3 linked regions of the Oryctolagus cuniculus genome follow. Each later gene encodes a partner of the first gene's protein in a complex. Links are inferred from orthologs where the notes say so. Each region holds a gene or a part of one and is shown on either strand. Other genes may lie near its edges.

Evidence for each region.
Region 2: SNRNP40 (region 1) and LSM7 share a complex: the UniProt entries of both Homo sapiens proteins name them as parts of the U4/U6-U5 tri-snRNP complex. The link is inferred for Oryctolagus cuniculus from reciprocal best matches to the Homo sapiens genes SNRNP40 and LSM7.
Region 3: SNRNP40 (region 1) and CWC22 share a complex: the UniProt entries of both Homo sapiens proteins name them as parts of the minor spliceosome. The link is inferred for Oryctolagus cuniculus from reciprocal best matches to the Homo sapiens genes SNRNP40 and CWC22.

What each region holds. Positions count from the first base shown.
Region 1 is NC_091438.1:141,089,027-141,093,825, reverse strand, and holds part of SNRNP40 (U5 small nuclear ribonucleoprotein 40 kDa protein), read right to left. Parts: intron 1,403-4,799; coding exon 1,280-1,402; intron 1-1,279. UniProt on the Homo sapiens protein: Required for pre-mRNA splicing as component of the activated spliceosome. Component of the U5 small nuclear ribonucleoprotein (snRNP) complex and the U4/U6-U5 tri-snRNP complex, building blocks of the spliceosome.
Region 2 is NC_091447.1:59,144,702-59,149,600, forward strand, and holds LSM7 (U6 snRNA-associated Sm-like protein LSm7), read right to left. Parts: upstream 2,937-4,899; 5' UTR 2,884-2,936; coding exon 2,878-2,883; intron 2,798-2,877; coding exon 2,707-2,797; intron 1,715-2,706; coding exon 1,643-1,714; intron 1,417-1,642; coding exon 1,274-1,416; 3' UTR 1,230-1,273; intron 1,128-1,229; 3' UTR 304-1,127; downstream 1-303. Other genes in the region: SPPL2B (signal peptide peptidase-like 2B), read left to right, coding at 2,961-3,089. UniProt on the Homo sapiens protein: Plays a role in pre-mRNA splicing as component of the U4/U6-U5 tri-snRNP complex that is involved in spliceosome assembly, and as component of the precatalytic spliceosome (spliceosome B complex).
Region 3 is NC_091434.1:61,122,471-61,127,269, reverse strand, and holds part of CWC22 (pre-mRNA-splicing factor CWC22 homolog), read right to left. Parts: intron 4,700-4,799; coding exon 4,572-4,699; intron 2,556-4,571; coding exon 2,454-2,555; intron 2,373-2,453; coding exon 2,134-2,372; intron 1-2,133. UniProt on the Homo sapiens protein: Required for pre-mRNA splicing as component of the spliceosome. As a component of the minor spliceosome, involved in the splicing of U12-type introns in pre-mRNAs. Promotes exon-junction complex (EJC) assembly.

The sequences.
Region 1 (4,799 bases):
AGCAAACTTGAGATTTTAAACTGAGGTTCCACCACTTATTAGCTGTGTAAGCTTAGATTAAGTTGTTATGCCTTTTCTAGCTCAGCTTCTTAAGCATGAAATAACACTAGTAGCATTTGACAAAGTTGTTGTGGAGCTTAAATGAATTAATGATGTAGAGCTGATCCATGATCTGACACAAGGTAAGCACTATGTGTTAGATGATGACAACAACATTGTTTTTATCATCACCACCATCTTCTTTTTGCAAGACATTTGGCTGTGAGGAGGAAGAGTCACCAAGCAACAGCAATCTCCATGTGGAACTGAAGGAAGATTCCTCCTTACCCTACCACCATAGTGAAATTCTGATAAGAAAGTAGAAAAGCAGGAGAGAAGACGCTGAAAATAGTTTGGGGAAACTGCTGGCATGAGGTCCTTGAGAAGTGAAGGTTGAAATCTTCCCACTTAATGAGACATGCCATCCATAGTAACAGCAAAGGAAGCAAGCAGGAATGGGAATACAGAACAATTGCCATGTAGAGACAACACAGGAAGCTTAGCATCGATCTAACAGTAATTACCTCAGTAATGCAAAGGGTAGGGCCACAGTTTTTGAGATCCTTTAGGGAACCAGTAAGCAAAGGCTTGAATTGTATAGTCCCAAAATACCCCTTCACATTTACTGGTACTTGCTATATCCAGGAACACTGCAGGTGGTCTAAGGATAGGCTCATTTAATCCCAACAACTCTATGAGGCAGAAGTTACTGTTATTATTATCACCTTCACTCTTCATGTGAGAAAACATAAGCTTAAAGTGAACAAGTTAAAGAACCCATTTGAAATCACAAAACTAGAAAACAGCAGAAGTGGGATTAGAACCCAAGTCAAATTAGTTGAAGGTTTAAGCTACACTGTACTGCCACACGGCCCACTGCCTCCTTCTCCAAAAGTATTACTTTCTCTCATTCTTACTAGAAGCTTAGAAAACTTAATTTAAATAGTGTCAAAAAGAAAAACACAGCAAGAGTGGAGGACACCCGTCCTTCCACTAGTCCTCCACCCAGGGGATGCATGCGGCACATGAACCGCCTGGTCCCTGACAGCATTTATATGGGCTGCAATGAAACCTTTGATTGAGGAAGACAATGAGGACCGAAGAGAAAGAAAGTTCTAAGTTATTATTGTAATTTTAGTTGGTATTAAGCACAAAGCTACCACAATCCCAAAAGTCTTCAAAGATTTGCTTCTGTAAGTGGATGCAGGTCAAAGTGAAATACAACACGAACATCACATACCTTGATATCATTGTCTATTCCACCAGAAATAATCTGATCACTTGTGTCATTGAAGGTCACAGCTAACACTTGGTATGTGTTCTGAAATGTCTGGATGGCTGCTTTCTTCCGGATATCCCAAAGCTAAAGCAGAGGAATAGGACAGTCTATCAGTAACATCTCCTTGAGAAGTAACTGCACAACATACTTGGTAGACATGAACACATCTAGAACAAGAACCTCATTCAGAAACTTTCTTGGATGTCCTAGCAACACATGGTAAAAAATGATCACAATTTTGCCAAATTATTTGAAGGCTGGTGGAATAAACTATTTTGGTTATATTTTCAGACTCCTTTGGTAATAAAGTTAGAATAAAATACTGTTAATCAACATGCCCTTGGAAGAAGTCCTCTATAAGTTTACTTCGTATATTCTTTAGGAGAAAGATATTAGACCACTGCCTAAAAAAAAAAAAAAAAAAAAAAAAAAAAAACCCACATATTTACTATTTGAAAGGCAGAGTTACAGTGAGAAAGGAGAGCAAGGGAGAGTGAGAGATCTTCCATTTACTTGTTTACTCCCCAAAATGGCTGAAGCTAGTACAGGCAGAAGCTAGGAGCCAGGAACTCTATCTGGGTGTCTCACATAGGTGGCAGGGGCAAAGCATTTGGCTCATCTTGTGCTGCTTTCCCAGGCACATTAGCTGGGACTGGATTGGAAGCTGAGCAGCCAAGACTTGAACTGGTTCTCATATGGGATGCTGGTGTCACAGGTGGTGGCTTAACCCACTGCATCACAGCTCTGACCCTACCTTGTTTTGTTTTTCAAAGATTTTATTTATTTATTTATTTTTAATTTGACAGGTAGAGTTATAGACAGTGAGAGAGAGACAGAGAAGAAGGTCTTCCTTCTGTTGGCTCATTCCCCAAATGGCCGCTATGGCCGGCGCTGTGCTGATCTGAAGCCAGGAGCCAGGTGCTTCTTCCCGGTCTCCCATGCGGGTACAGGGACCCAAGCACATGGGCCATCCTCCACTGCCTTCCCGGGCCACAGCAGAGAGCTGGACTGTAAGAGGAGCAACCAGGACAGAAGTTGGCGCCCCAACCGGGACTAGAACCTGGGGTGCCAGGGCCGCAGGCGGAGGATTAGCCTTGTGAGCCCCGGCGCTGGCCAGACCGCTCTCTCTTTGTATCCCTACCTTTCTATGTAACTGTCTTTCAAAATAGAAAAAAAAAAAAAAAAAAAAAAAAACTAAACGTTTTCATGTTTAGTTCTAGTCATAATTTCATAACTACATTCATAGTAGATGGTTTACTGTTAGTTATAATTAAAGTCAGTTAGTATCCTCTCCTATCCAAACAGTAATTTTTTAAAAGATCTATTTAATTATTTGAAAGACAGAGTTACAAAAATGGTGAGAAACAGAGAGATCTTCTATCTGCTGGTTCACTTCTCAAATGACCATAGCAGCTGGGACTGGTCTGGGTCAAAGCTAGGAGTTCAGAACTCCATCCAGGTCTCGCACATTGGTCACAGGAGCCCAAATACTTGGGCCATCTTCAGCGGCTTTCCCAGGCGCATTAGCAGGGAGGTGGATCTAAAATAGAGCACCTGGGACTCAAAACAGCACTCCAAAATGAGATATCACTGTCACAACTCTGGCCCCCTAAACAGTAATTTTATTAAATCATTCAGTAAATGTTTGTTGGCTCACCTCTCTGTCTCATCATGAAGGAAAAAACACTAAGATACAGTTCTAGCTCAGAGAGGAAATTGAGAACTGTTAACGAGAGGCAGAACAAAATATTTTTATATAGATTTTTAAAAGTTATGTTATTGGGGGCCGATATTGTGACGCAGTGGATTAAGTCCCCACCTGCAATGCCAGCATCCCATATGAGCACTGGTTCGAGTCCCAGCCTCTCTTTTTCTTCCAATCCAGCTCTCTGCTATGGTCTGGGAAAGCAGTGGAAGAGGACCCAAGTGCTTGGGCTCCTGCATCCGTGTGGCAGACCCGGAAGAAGCTCCTGACTCCTGGCTTCGGATCTGCCCAGTTCTGGCCACTGCGCCATTTGGGGAGTGAACCAGTGGTTGGAAGACTTTCTGTCTTTTCCTCACTCTGTAACTTTGCCTCTCAAATAAATAAATAAATGGCACACTTGCACACTGCTGGTAATAATGCCCCCTGGAGGTTTATGTTGTGTAAAACGGTCTGCCGGGGATCTGGGTTTGTCTTGAAACCCTGCAGCTAAAATTTTTATTGCATGTCTTGATTTATCTTACTGCAGAGTGGAGACTCAGACCTAAATTACTTAGACAGGAATCCTAGCTTTGTCACTTAGTAACCTGGAAAAGTGTACTCCATGTGACTTAGTTTTCTCCTCTATGAAATGGCTCTAAGCATACATGCAGAGCCAATCTACAAAGACTGGGAGAGTTTTTTTTACTTGTTCTAGGTGATAAAAGAATCACTAGTTGATAACTAAAATAATGGAACAAGACTTCAGTAGTTATGCAGGACAAACAACACAGTCTTCACAAAACTAGTTTAAAAAGTCACTAAACTGGGGCCAACACTGTGGCATAGAAGGTTAAGCCTTTGCCTGAGGAGCTGGTGTCCCATATGGGTCCCTGCACCCATGTGGGCAACCCGGAAGAAGCTATTGGCTCCTGACTTCAGCTGGGCCCAGTTCTAGCCCTTTTGGCCATTCGGGGAGTTAACCAGTGGATGGAAGACCTCTGTCTCTTCTTTTCTCTATGAGGAACTCTGCCTCTCAAAAAATAAATAAATCTTAAAAAAAAAAAAAAAAGTCGCAAAACAAACCAACAATGACAACTACAATGGCTCTGGTGTTGGGGCATAGTGGTTTGTTTTGTTTTGTTTTTTTGACAGGCAGAGTGGACAGTGAGAGAGAGAGACAGAGAGAAAGGTCTTCCTTTGCCGTTGGTTCACCCTCCAATGGCCGCCGCGGCCGGCGCACCGTGCTGATTCAATGGCAGGAGCCAGGTACTTATCCTGGTCTCCCATGGGGTGCAGGGCCCAAGTACTTGGGCCATCCTCCACTGTACTCCCTGGCCACAGCAGAGAGCTGGCCTGGAAGAGGGGCAACCAGGACAGAATCCAGCGCCCCGACCAGGACTAGAATCTGGTGTGCCGGTGCCGCAAGGCGGAGGATTAGCCTAGTGAGCCGCGGTGCCGGCCTGCATAGTGGGTTTTGTAAAACCACTGTCTGTGACAATGCCATCCCTTATAGTTGCTGGGTGGAGTCCCGGCTGCTCTACTTCAATCCAGCTCCCTACTAATGGCCTGGGAAAGGAGCAGAAGAAGGTCCAATTGCTTGGGCTCCTGTGCCCACCCACGTGGGAGACCCAGATGAAGCTCCTGGCTTCGGCCTGGCCTTGTCCCAGCTGGGACCGAAGCCAGGAGCCTAGAACTCCATCTGGGTCTCCCACATGGGGGCCCAAGCACATGGGTCATCTTCCACTGCTTTTCCAGGCACATTAACAGGGAGCTGGATTGGAAGTGGAGCAGCCAGGA
Region 2 (4,899 bases), on another chromosome or scaffold:
CGGAGACCCCGGTGGGGCCGGCCCTGCCCTGGAGGCTGTGGGCACCTGGGCGTGGACAGCGGATGGGAGAGCTCCCTGGTTCTCTCCAGGGACACTCGGTGCCCCGGCACGGGGGCGCTGGTGGAGGCCCCGCTGCACCGGGAGACCCCAGCCCCGTCCCCCAGCCCCCGTCGCTGCCAACTCCTGGAGGCCAGAGCGAGCCAGGGGGGGCCCGGAGGCACCCAGCTCTGCAAGACCCACCCGGCGGCTGACCACACGTGCCGGCCCGAGCCCACTGTAGGCCCTTCTCCCCAAGGCGCCCAGTTTTCTTAAAGTGGTTTATTTATCCGAAAGGCAGAGTTACAGAGAGGCAGAGACAGAGAGAGAGGTCCTCCATCCGCTGGGTCACCCCCCAGATGGCCGCATTGGCCGGAGCTGCGCCGATCCGGAGCCAGGAGCTCCATCCGGGTCTCCCACGCGGGTGCAGGGGTCCACCATTGGTCCATCGTCCACTGCTCTCCCAGGCCACGGCAGGGAGCTGATCGGAAGTGGAGCAGCTGGGACTCGAACCCGCGCCCACGTGGGAAGCGGGACCACAGGCGGCGGCTTCGCCCGCTGCGCCCCAGCGCTCACAGAGCAGAGCCACGGCAGGAGGCGGGGCTAGGCCGAGCCGGGGCTGCGGGGGCTCAGAAACGGGGGGTGCTCCCCTCATCCGCCGTCCAGTCCCTCAGTTGTGAGGCGCCCCCCCCACCCCGCAGTGCACGGCCCCGGCCCTGAGATGGCCTCTGACAGGGAGCCCAGGCCAGATGGCTGGGAGCAGGTGCGGGGCCCGGAGCAGCTGGCGCCCGCGGGCCGCAGAGCCCGGTGAGCCCCGTGAGCCAGGGGCCCGGGCTCCAGCGCAGCGCGCGCCTCCCGCGTGCCCCAGCGCCCAGGAGGGAGGGTGCGAGGGGGCGGCGGACGGGGAGGGGTCCCGGGGCCAGGGGCTGAGAAAGCGAGGCGAGCGGGCAGAGGGGCTGCGGCTTTACTGAGCGGGGGCGGGGCTGACCCCGGCGGGCAGGGTCCCGGGGGCGGGGCGGTGCCGACCCAGGCGGGTAGGCGGTCCCGGGGGCGGGGCCGAGCTGGCGGGGGCGGGGCCGGGGCTGACCCAGGCGGGCAGGGTCCCGGGGGCGGGGCCGAGGTGGCGGGGGCGGTGCCGGGGCGGGGCTGACCCAGGCGGGCAGGGTCCCGGGGGCGGGGCGGGGCCGACCCAGGCGGGTAGGCGGTCCCGGGGGCGGGGCTGAGGCCGGCCGCCGGCCTAGGCGTCCTGCTGCTGCACGAAGGGGTTCGGGATGGCCTCCATGCCGTCCTGCGGGCAGATGAGCACCACCGAGGTGCCCCTGCACACCACCAGGCCCAGCTGCCGCGTGTCCTCCGTCAGCTTGTACTGGTCGTCGGGATCTGCGGGCGGGGAGGGCTGAGGCAGGCGGGCGGCGGGCGGCGGCCGGCACCCCGCACGGACAGGGACAGGGACAGGGCCAGGGCCGGGGCCGGGGCCGGGCACAGCAGGCGCAGGGCTGCCGTCAGGGGCGGGGCGGGGCGGGAAGACCGCAACCCCGCGCGGGACCCACCCTCACCGCCCGGCTCCCGCACGGCCTGGGCGTCCCCGGGGGGCGGACCGGCTCACCTCGCATGTGTTCGATGGTGCCGTCCAGCACGAGGTTGAGCAGGGGGTCGAAGCCCTTGAGGATGCCGCTGGCTGGGGCGGGGGGGGGGGGCGTGAGGTCCAGCCCGCCCGCCCAGAGGGGCAGCGCGGGAGCCGGCGCGGGCTGGGACGGCAGGGCAGCGCGGCCCTGGGTGGGGGAGCCAGTGCGCAGCGCGGGACGCCGCGGTGGTCACTGCTATTCGGGTTGCGGCTCCAGCAACCTCAGGCCGCTGCCGCACCTGCGCGCTGGGGCCCCGACCCCACAGGGGAGTGGGTGGGCGGGGTCAGCGACCCAGGCCCCCCGCCTGACCCGGCGCGGGCGGCAGGCGAGTCCCGGGGCGGAACACGGCGACCCCGGCCCACAGCCACAGCAGACAGCTTGTGACACGTGGGCTCGGTGGGCTGGTGAGTGTCCTGGGGGGCCGGCCCCACTCCCCTACCGGGGCCAGCGTGGCGGGGAGAGGCCCTCCCGCCGCTGGGTCACTCCCGAGACGGCCTCAACGGCCGGAGCTGCGCCGATCCGGAGCGAGGAGCCAGGAGCTCCATCCGGGTCTCCCACGCAGGTGCAGCGGCCCCCAGCACCTGGGCCCTCGTGCACCTGCTCTCCCAGGCCACAGCAGGGAGCTGGACCGGAAGTGGAGCAGCCGGGACTCGAACCCGCGCCCCTATCGCACCCTGGGGACCCTGCCCCCACGCGGGAGACCCGGATGCAGCTCCTGGTCCTACCCGGGCTGCGAACCAGAGAGGGGAGTTCTCGCGCCTTTCCGAAATAAATGCATTTCCGTTTCTAGGGCCGCGGTTCCCACGCGTGCAGGCGCGCCCCCTGGCGGGCGCTGGTGATACCGCAGACCCGGGCACCGGCACAAGCAGGGGGTCCCTGGCGGGGGGCCGCGCCCGCGGAGAGGCCCCGGTGCGGGGCGGCAGCGCGCTGGGGAGACGGGGCCGCGCGCGGGCAGAGCTGCGGGGCCGCCTCCGCTGGCCCCCGCGCCCGCCGCCTCCCGACCCGCGAACGCACGGGGCCGGCGGCGGGGAGGGGGCGGCCTCACCTTCGCGGCCTCCCTGGAACTTCACCCGGATCGTCTTGTCGATGTACTTGGACAGGTCCAAGATGCTCTCCTTCTTCTTCTTCTCTTTGTCCTGCGGGGCAAGCAGAGCGCGTGAGGCAGGGGGCGCGGCCCGACTTCAAGCTCCCCGCCCCGGCTCCGCCGCGCGCTCACCGCCATCTTCCCGCCCCGCGCCGCCCCGCGCAGGCGCCGCCCCGCGGCCTTTGACCCCGGGCGCGCGTGCGCATGCGCCGCGCATGCGCGCAGGCGCCGCCGGGGGTGTTGCCGGGAAACATCTGCCGACGGCTGCGGCTGGACCGGCCGACATGGCGGCGGCGCTGGCGCTGGCGCGGCTCGCGGCGGCCTCGCTGCTTTTCGCGGCCCAGGTGAGGCTGCGCCGGCCCTGACAGCCCCGCGGGCCGCGGCTGCTCTGCCCCGGCAGCCCCGGGCCCCGCGTGGCGCCGCGCTCCGCCCGCCCTGGGGCCGCCGCCTCCGGGACCCCGGTCCCCCCGCGTCCCCCGCCGCGGGGCCGGGGCCCTGCCGTGACCTTGCGGGGCTGTGCCGCCCCCGCCGCGGCCGTCCTCGCCCGCCGCGGCCTCTGGCCGGGTCCGCAGTCCCGCGTCCTCCCCACCCGCAGGCCCTGGATGGGTCCCGTGCGTCCGTCTCGGGGGTCTCCCCTGCCGCTGTGGCGCCCACCGCGCTCCGAGCCTCAGTTTCCCCCAGTGCGGCACGCGCGCCCCTGCCCCCAGGGCTGGCGGGAAGGCGTCCCCCGGTGCGGGGCAGCGCCCCGGGCCCCCCGGCCCCCGCGCCGGCGTTTGCTCGGTGACCTTGCATGGGGGGGTCGCACCCCTGCAGGCGCGGGAGGTTGCGGGGCGCGGACAGCCGCCGCGTCCCGGTTTGCGCGGCCCCAGGAGCGGGGTCCCTGGCGGCGCGTCGCCCCCCGGTCTCAGCGGGTGCCCGGAGGCCGAGCCGGCGCCCCGCGCGGGAGGCCCCTCGGGTGGGCGTGGGGCTGGGCCGGGGACTTTGTCCTGGGAGTCCCGGAGGCCGTGTCCGGCCCAGGAGAGCAGGCTCTGCTCCCGGGACGCCGCGGTGCGGGGTGCGGGGTGGAGTTAGGGCCGCTGCGGGGAGGCTGCCCCCGACACCCCCGCGCCCGCCTGCCTCCCCCGCGGATGTGTGGGGCCCCTCGCGGCTGCGCAGGCTGGAGCCCAGCGCCGCCCCCGGAGTGGGGGTACCCCCTGCCCCCCGCCCGGATCCGGGTCCCCTCCACTCCCCCCACCAGGAGTCGGGGTCCCCTCTGCCCCCCACCTGGGGTCAGGGTCCCTCTGCTCCCCCCCAGGAGTCAGGTCCCCTCTGCCCCCCTGCCCGGATCCGGGTCCCCTCCGCTCCCCCCCGTCCGGATCTGGGTCCCCTCTGCCCCCCACCTGGGGTCGGGGTCCCTCTGCTCCCCCCCAGGAGTCAGGTCCCCTCTGCCCCCCTGCCTGGATCCGGGTCCCCTCCACTCCCCCCCTGCCTGGAGTTAGGGTCCCCTCTGCCCCCCCACCCGGATCCGGGTCTCCTTTGCTCCCCCTGCCTGGAGTCAGGGTCCCCCCGCCCCCTGTCCGGATCTGGGTCCCCTCTGCCCCCCACCTGGAGTTAGGGTCCCCTCTGCTCCCCCCCAGGAGTCAGGTCCCCTCTGACCCCCGCCCGGATCCTGGTCCCCTCTGCTCCCCCACCTGGAGTCGGGTCCCCTCTGCCCCCGCTGGGCTCCCTGTGTCCGTCGGCCCCGCCGCGGCTCTGGTGGTCTCTGAGCGGCCCCTGCAGAGCCCAGGACGCCCTCAGGCCTGGCCCCCAGGACCCCGTTAGCGCGAGTGAGGGCGACGTCCTCCGTCCGCTGGGTGGCTCCCCAGGTGGCCACAGTGGCGGGGCTGGGCCAGGCTGGACTCTGGACCCCCCACGCGGGTGCAGGCCGAGCGCGGGCATCGCCCGTGGCTTCCCCGGCGGTAACCGGGAGCTGGAGCGGAGCAGCCGGGCCTTGAACCGGCGCCCGTGCGGGGTACTGGTGCCGGCCCAGCGGCAGGGGCCGGCTCTGGGCCGCGGGGCCTGCCCTCGCCCACCTCTGCTGTCCAGGGACGTGCCACCTGTGAGCAGGCGCAGGGCTGCTTCGGGCTGGACTCGGTCTCAAGGCAGACTGCTTCCCAGGGGCGGGGCGGGGCTCTG
Region 3 (4,799 bases), on another chromosome or scaffold:
GGGGTCACACAAAGCCTGGAACAGCCACCTAACAAAAAGGGAAGTATTAAAATGGCCAATAAAGCTTAAATGGTATTCCGCTTCATCAGTGAGAAAGACAATGAAAATTAAAGTACAATACCCACAATACTGTATCATTACATAGCCACCAGATCTGGCCAAAATGAAAAACATGGGCAATCTCAAGCGCTGGTAGGGAGCTGCTAGAACTCTATATGTGGCTGGTGGGAGTGTATGTTGAAATAAACACTTAAAAAAATTGTTTGGCAGGGGCCAGCACTATGGTATAGCGGGTTAAAGACCCAGCCTGTTGTATAAGCATCCCAGACAGGCACCAGTTCAAGTCCTGGCTGCTCCTCTTCCAACCCAGCTCTCTGCTATGGCCTGGGAAAGCAGCAGAAGATGGCCCAAGTGCTTGGGCCCCTGCACCCATGTGGGAGACTGGAAGAAGCTCCTGGCTCCTGGCTTCAGATTGGCTTAACTCTGGCAGTGCAGTGGTTTGAGAAGTGAACCAGAGGAAGGAAGACCTTTTTCTCTGTCTCCCCTCTCACTGCTCTAACTCTACTTCTCAAATAAATATATAAAATCTTTTTTTTTTTATTTGACAAATAAGAGTTAGAGAGAGAGAGAAAGACAGAAAAGTCTTCCTTCCGTTGGTTCACCCCCCAAATGGCTGCTACAGCTGGAGCTATGCTGATCCGAAGCCAGGAACCAGGTGCTTCCTCCTGGTCTCCCATGTGGGTGTAGGTGCCCAAGCACTTGGCCATCCTCCACTGCTTTCCCGGGCCACAGCAGAGAGCTGGACTGCAAGAGGAGCAACTGGGACTAGAATCCAGCACCCATATGGGATGCTGACGCTGCAGGCGGAGGATTAACCAAGTGAGCCACAGCGCCGGCCCCAAATATATAAAATCTTTAAAAACAAACAAACAAAAAAAACCCTGGTTGATAGTATTTACTAAAGTCAAACACAAACACATGCTATGACATCTGATTATCAGCAATAATTACATGCTATATTATCTGATATACCACCTGTAGGTATATACCCAAAGGAAATGTGCACACACATACACACATATACACAAACGTTTCTTGTCCAATGATGGGGCTATGTCCCAATAAATCAATTCCAAGTTAAAAATACCAAGATGAAAATGACTAAACTCCGAAACATAACTTAGTTTAGCCTATCTTAAATGTGCTCAGAATACTCAACATTAGCCTACAGTTGAGCATCATGAGAGCAATGTATGGCATTACCCCAGCCCAGGAAAAGATCAAAATACATAATTCAAAGTACAGCTTTTATGGAATGCATATGGACTATCATAGTCAAAAACTCCTAAGATGAACCATTGTAGGTTGGGGACTATCTGTGTATATATGATCAGCAAAAGTTATGTACAAGAGTATTCATGGGAACACTATCTGTAAATTTACATGTCCACTGACTAAAAAGATAATAGGATTACAGTATATTCATGAAGTAGAGAACTGTAACAGGAATGAATGAACTATACCTAAATGCAATTCTATACAAGAATCTCACAAACGTAATGTTGAAAGAAATGTCAGACATAGAGGATTCGTAATGCACAGTTCTGAAGTTACAACATACAAAACGAATCTATAGAATTACAAATCAGAATAGTAGCAGATAGGCCAGAGGGAGGGCAGTTACTGGGAGAGGGAACAAGGAGAAATTCTGGCCAGAGTGCTAGCTATTCACATAGCACACAGGACAAGCACTGCATGTGTGGTATATGTCAATCACTAAAATAAAGCTTTGCTATTAGAAGAAAAGCCAAAACATTTTTTTTTTTTCAAATAAAAGCATCAGGCAACTGTTATACATTATATTAAGTTGACACCACGATAAACACATGCCCATGAAGTATCTTGGCTTCGATGAAGAGGATTCCAACAGGTAATGTTGGCATTGTAGATGCTGTAATACACTAACACATTGTAATAGTGACGGATGATTGTGCATATTATTAACTAAAGCTTTAAACAACTCAACTCTAAAACAAGCAATACAATACAATCACTTTCTTCCGTCATTATAAATACCACCAGCAATACGCTTGTTAGCAAAGAGCAGGATAGGTTATGGAGAAGCTTCAATACCTGAGGCCGAGCTGTGACTCCCGGAGGATGAAGAATCGCTCTCCTCACTGGAGGACCCTGAACTGCTATCACTGCTGTCAGAGTCAGAGTCAGAGTCAGAGTCAGAGTCAGAGGAGTCGGACTCCGACGAGGAGGACGCTGATGACGAAGAAGACAGGGAGGATTTATTTGGTTCAACATCTGGTTTCTGAGCCACTATGACTTTTGGTGTGTTTTTGAGATGCTCACGCAATTCATCCCTAATTAAAAACATAGTCTGTTAGATTCTGTCTCAAAGGCAACTGTAAGGTAATTGTGTAAGGTGAAAACAAAATTCTTACGTTAAACCTCCAAGACCTATAGAAGTAAAGAAGTTGATGGCAAATCGAGTGTTTCTTGGATTATCTCGGGGTAACAACCCTTCAAAGAATGGCTGTAGGGTTCTATAAAAGAAAAAAAAATGAATGGAAGAGAACAAAAAGACAAAAATCCTTACAGTTATTTTGCAGACTTCCAGTATATTAAATAAACAAATGAAATAATAAATGGTGGTGTATGCCTCTTATTAGGTTATGCTACCTGCTATCTAAATGAAATGAGTAGGGTCAAGTAATAATATACTAAGCTGAATTTTTAAAAACTTTTCACTCGTGTCAACACAGAAGAATACACATGGACACATACATATATGTGTGTGTATGGTATACATATATAAAATTTTTTAAAGGTTTACTTACTTATCTGAAAGTCAGAGTTACACAGAGAGAGAAGCAGAGGCAGAGAGAGAGAGAGAGGTCTTCCATCCGCTGGTTTACTCCCCAGTTGGCCAAAATGGCTGGAGCTGTGTCAATTCGAAGCCAGGAGCCAGGAGCTTCTTCTGGGTCTCCCACATGGGTACAGGGGCCCAAGGACTTGGACCTTCTTCTACTGTTTTCTAGCCAGAGAGCTGGATAGGAAGTAGAGCAGCTGGGACTTCAACCAGTGCCCATATGGGATGCCTGTGTGGCTTTACCTGCTAAGCCACAGCGCCAGCCCCCGTATTTAAGATTTAAAAAAAACCCGCTTGTATTTTAATATATACACAGGCATGTGTACACAACACTGAGAGATATGAGGAAGGAGTCAACAAAAGGGAGACATTTAGGATTGAGGACTGCATAGAATTACTCTATTTACAGAGCAGGGCAAACAGAAAAACATTAACAATGTACTGTGGTTCTGATCAATTCTGAGTGCCACACTGAATGACTACTAGATGGAGTCAGGAAAACGTTTCATAGAAAAAGGTAAACTATTATAAAAAGAATGATTAAGAGTTTGCTAGACAGATGAAAAAGAGAGGGGACTGCCAGTTGTAGAAACAGAAATAAAGAAACATCAACAGCCAGACAGGCTTGACACGATGGCAGTGGAGATGTGGCTACAGTGCCATTTGCTAAAGGAATTGAGCCTGGTACAACTGACAGGAACCAGAGTCAGTAAGTATATGAAGCCAGGAGAAGTGGATGGAATAGCCCACAGATAGCATCCAGAACCCAGGACAGACCTCAGGTGAACCTTAACACTGGAGAGGCCAGCTGAGGAGGAGACGGAGACTAAGGATAAAGTGAGAAGTCACAGTGAGCAAGTGACCAACTGCTAAAGACAGGCAGAGAAGTAAAGGGGCATAAGGACTGACTACAGCATTTGGCAGTGGTCATGGAAGAAGCTGGGAAGGATGCTTCAATGGTGTCCACTGATTACAAAACATTGTTGTTTTAGGGCTCAACACAAAGGTACGAAATAAGAGAAAACTAAGTACTCATCAACTGCAGAATTTCAGTGAGCATGCAAAAAAAAAACATTTCATATGCTCTAATGAAATTAAAGGAAGCATTAATTTTGTTTTCCTGCGACTAGCAGTATAAGTACAATTAAAAGTTACATGCTGGAGGCCAGTGCAATGGCGCAGTAGGTTAATCTTCTGCCTGAGATGCCGGCATCCCATATGGGCGCTGGCTCTAGTCCCAGCTGCTCCTCTTCCAGTCCAGCTCTCTGCCATGGCCTGGGAAAGCAGTAGAAAACGGCTCAAGTCCTTGGGCCCCTGCACCCACGTGGGAGACCACAGGAAGCTCCTGGTTCCTGGCTTTGGATTGGTGCAGCTCTGGCCATTGCAGTCATGGAAGACCTCTCTATCTCTCCCTCTCACTGTCAAATAAATAAATAAAATCTTTATAAAAAAAAAGTTGCATGCTGTCCTATGCTACATGAGATACAGAGAAGTAGATGATTAATGGATTAAAAAAGTCCTAGGGGCCTTTTCTTTCTTTTCTTTTCCTTCCCCCTTCTCTCCTTCCTCCTCCCCTTCCCTTCTCTTTCTCTGTCTCTTTCTTTACAACCAAGGACAGACTTATATCTGCCAAAGAAGGGGAAAATCCCTGAGGACAGTAAGAATAAAGAGTGCTTAACGACAAACTTACTCATCCTTTAATCTTGCATTGAGTTTGGGAAGACCCATGTATTCACACAGTTCTTGGAAAAATATTTTGACAAAAATTCTACTGGATGATGTAGTGGTTTCTTCACTCAGTTTTATACATTCAAGAACCTGAAAATTAAGACAATTTTATTTTAGTTTTCAAAAACAGTACAAGGTGACCAATACATTGTTAAGAAGTATCTCCTGAAATTATGACTTATTTTCACTC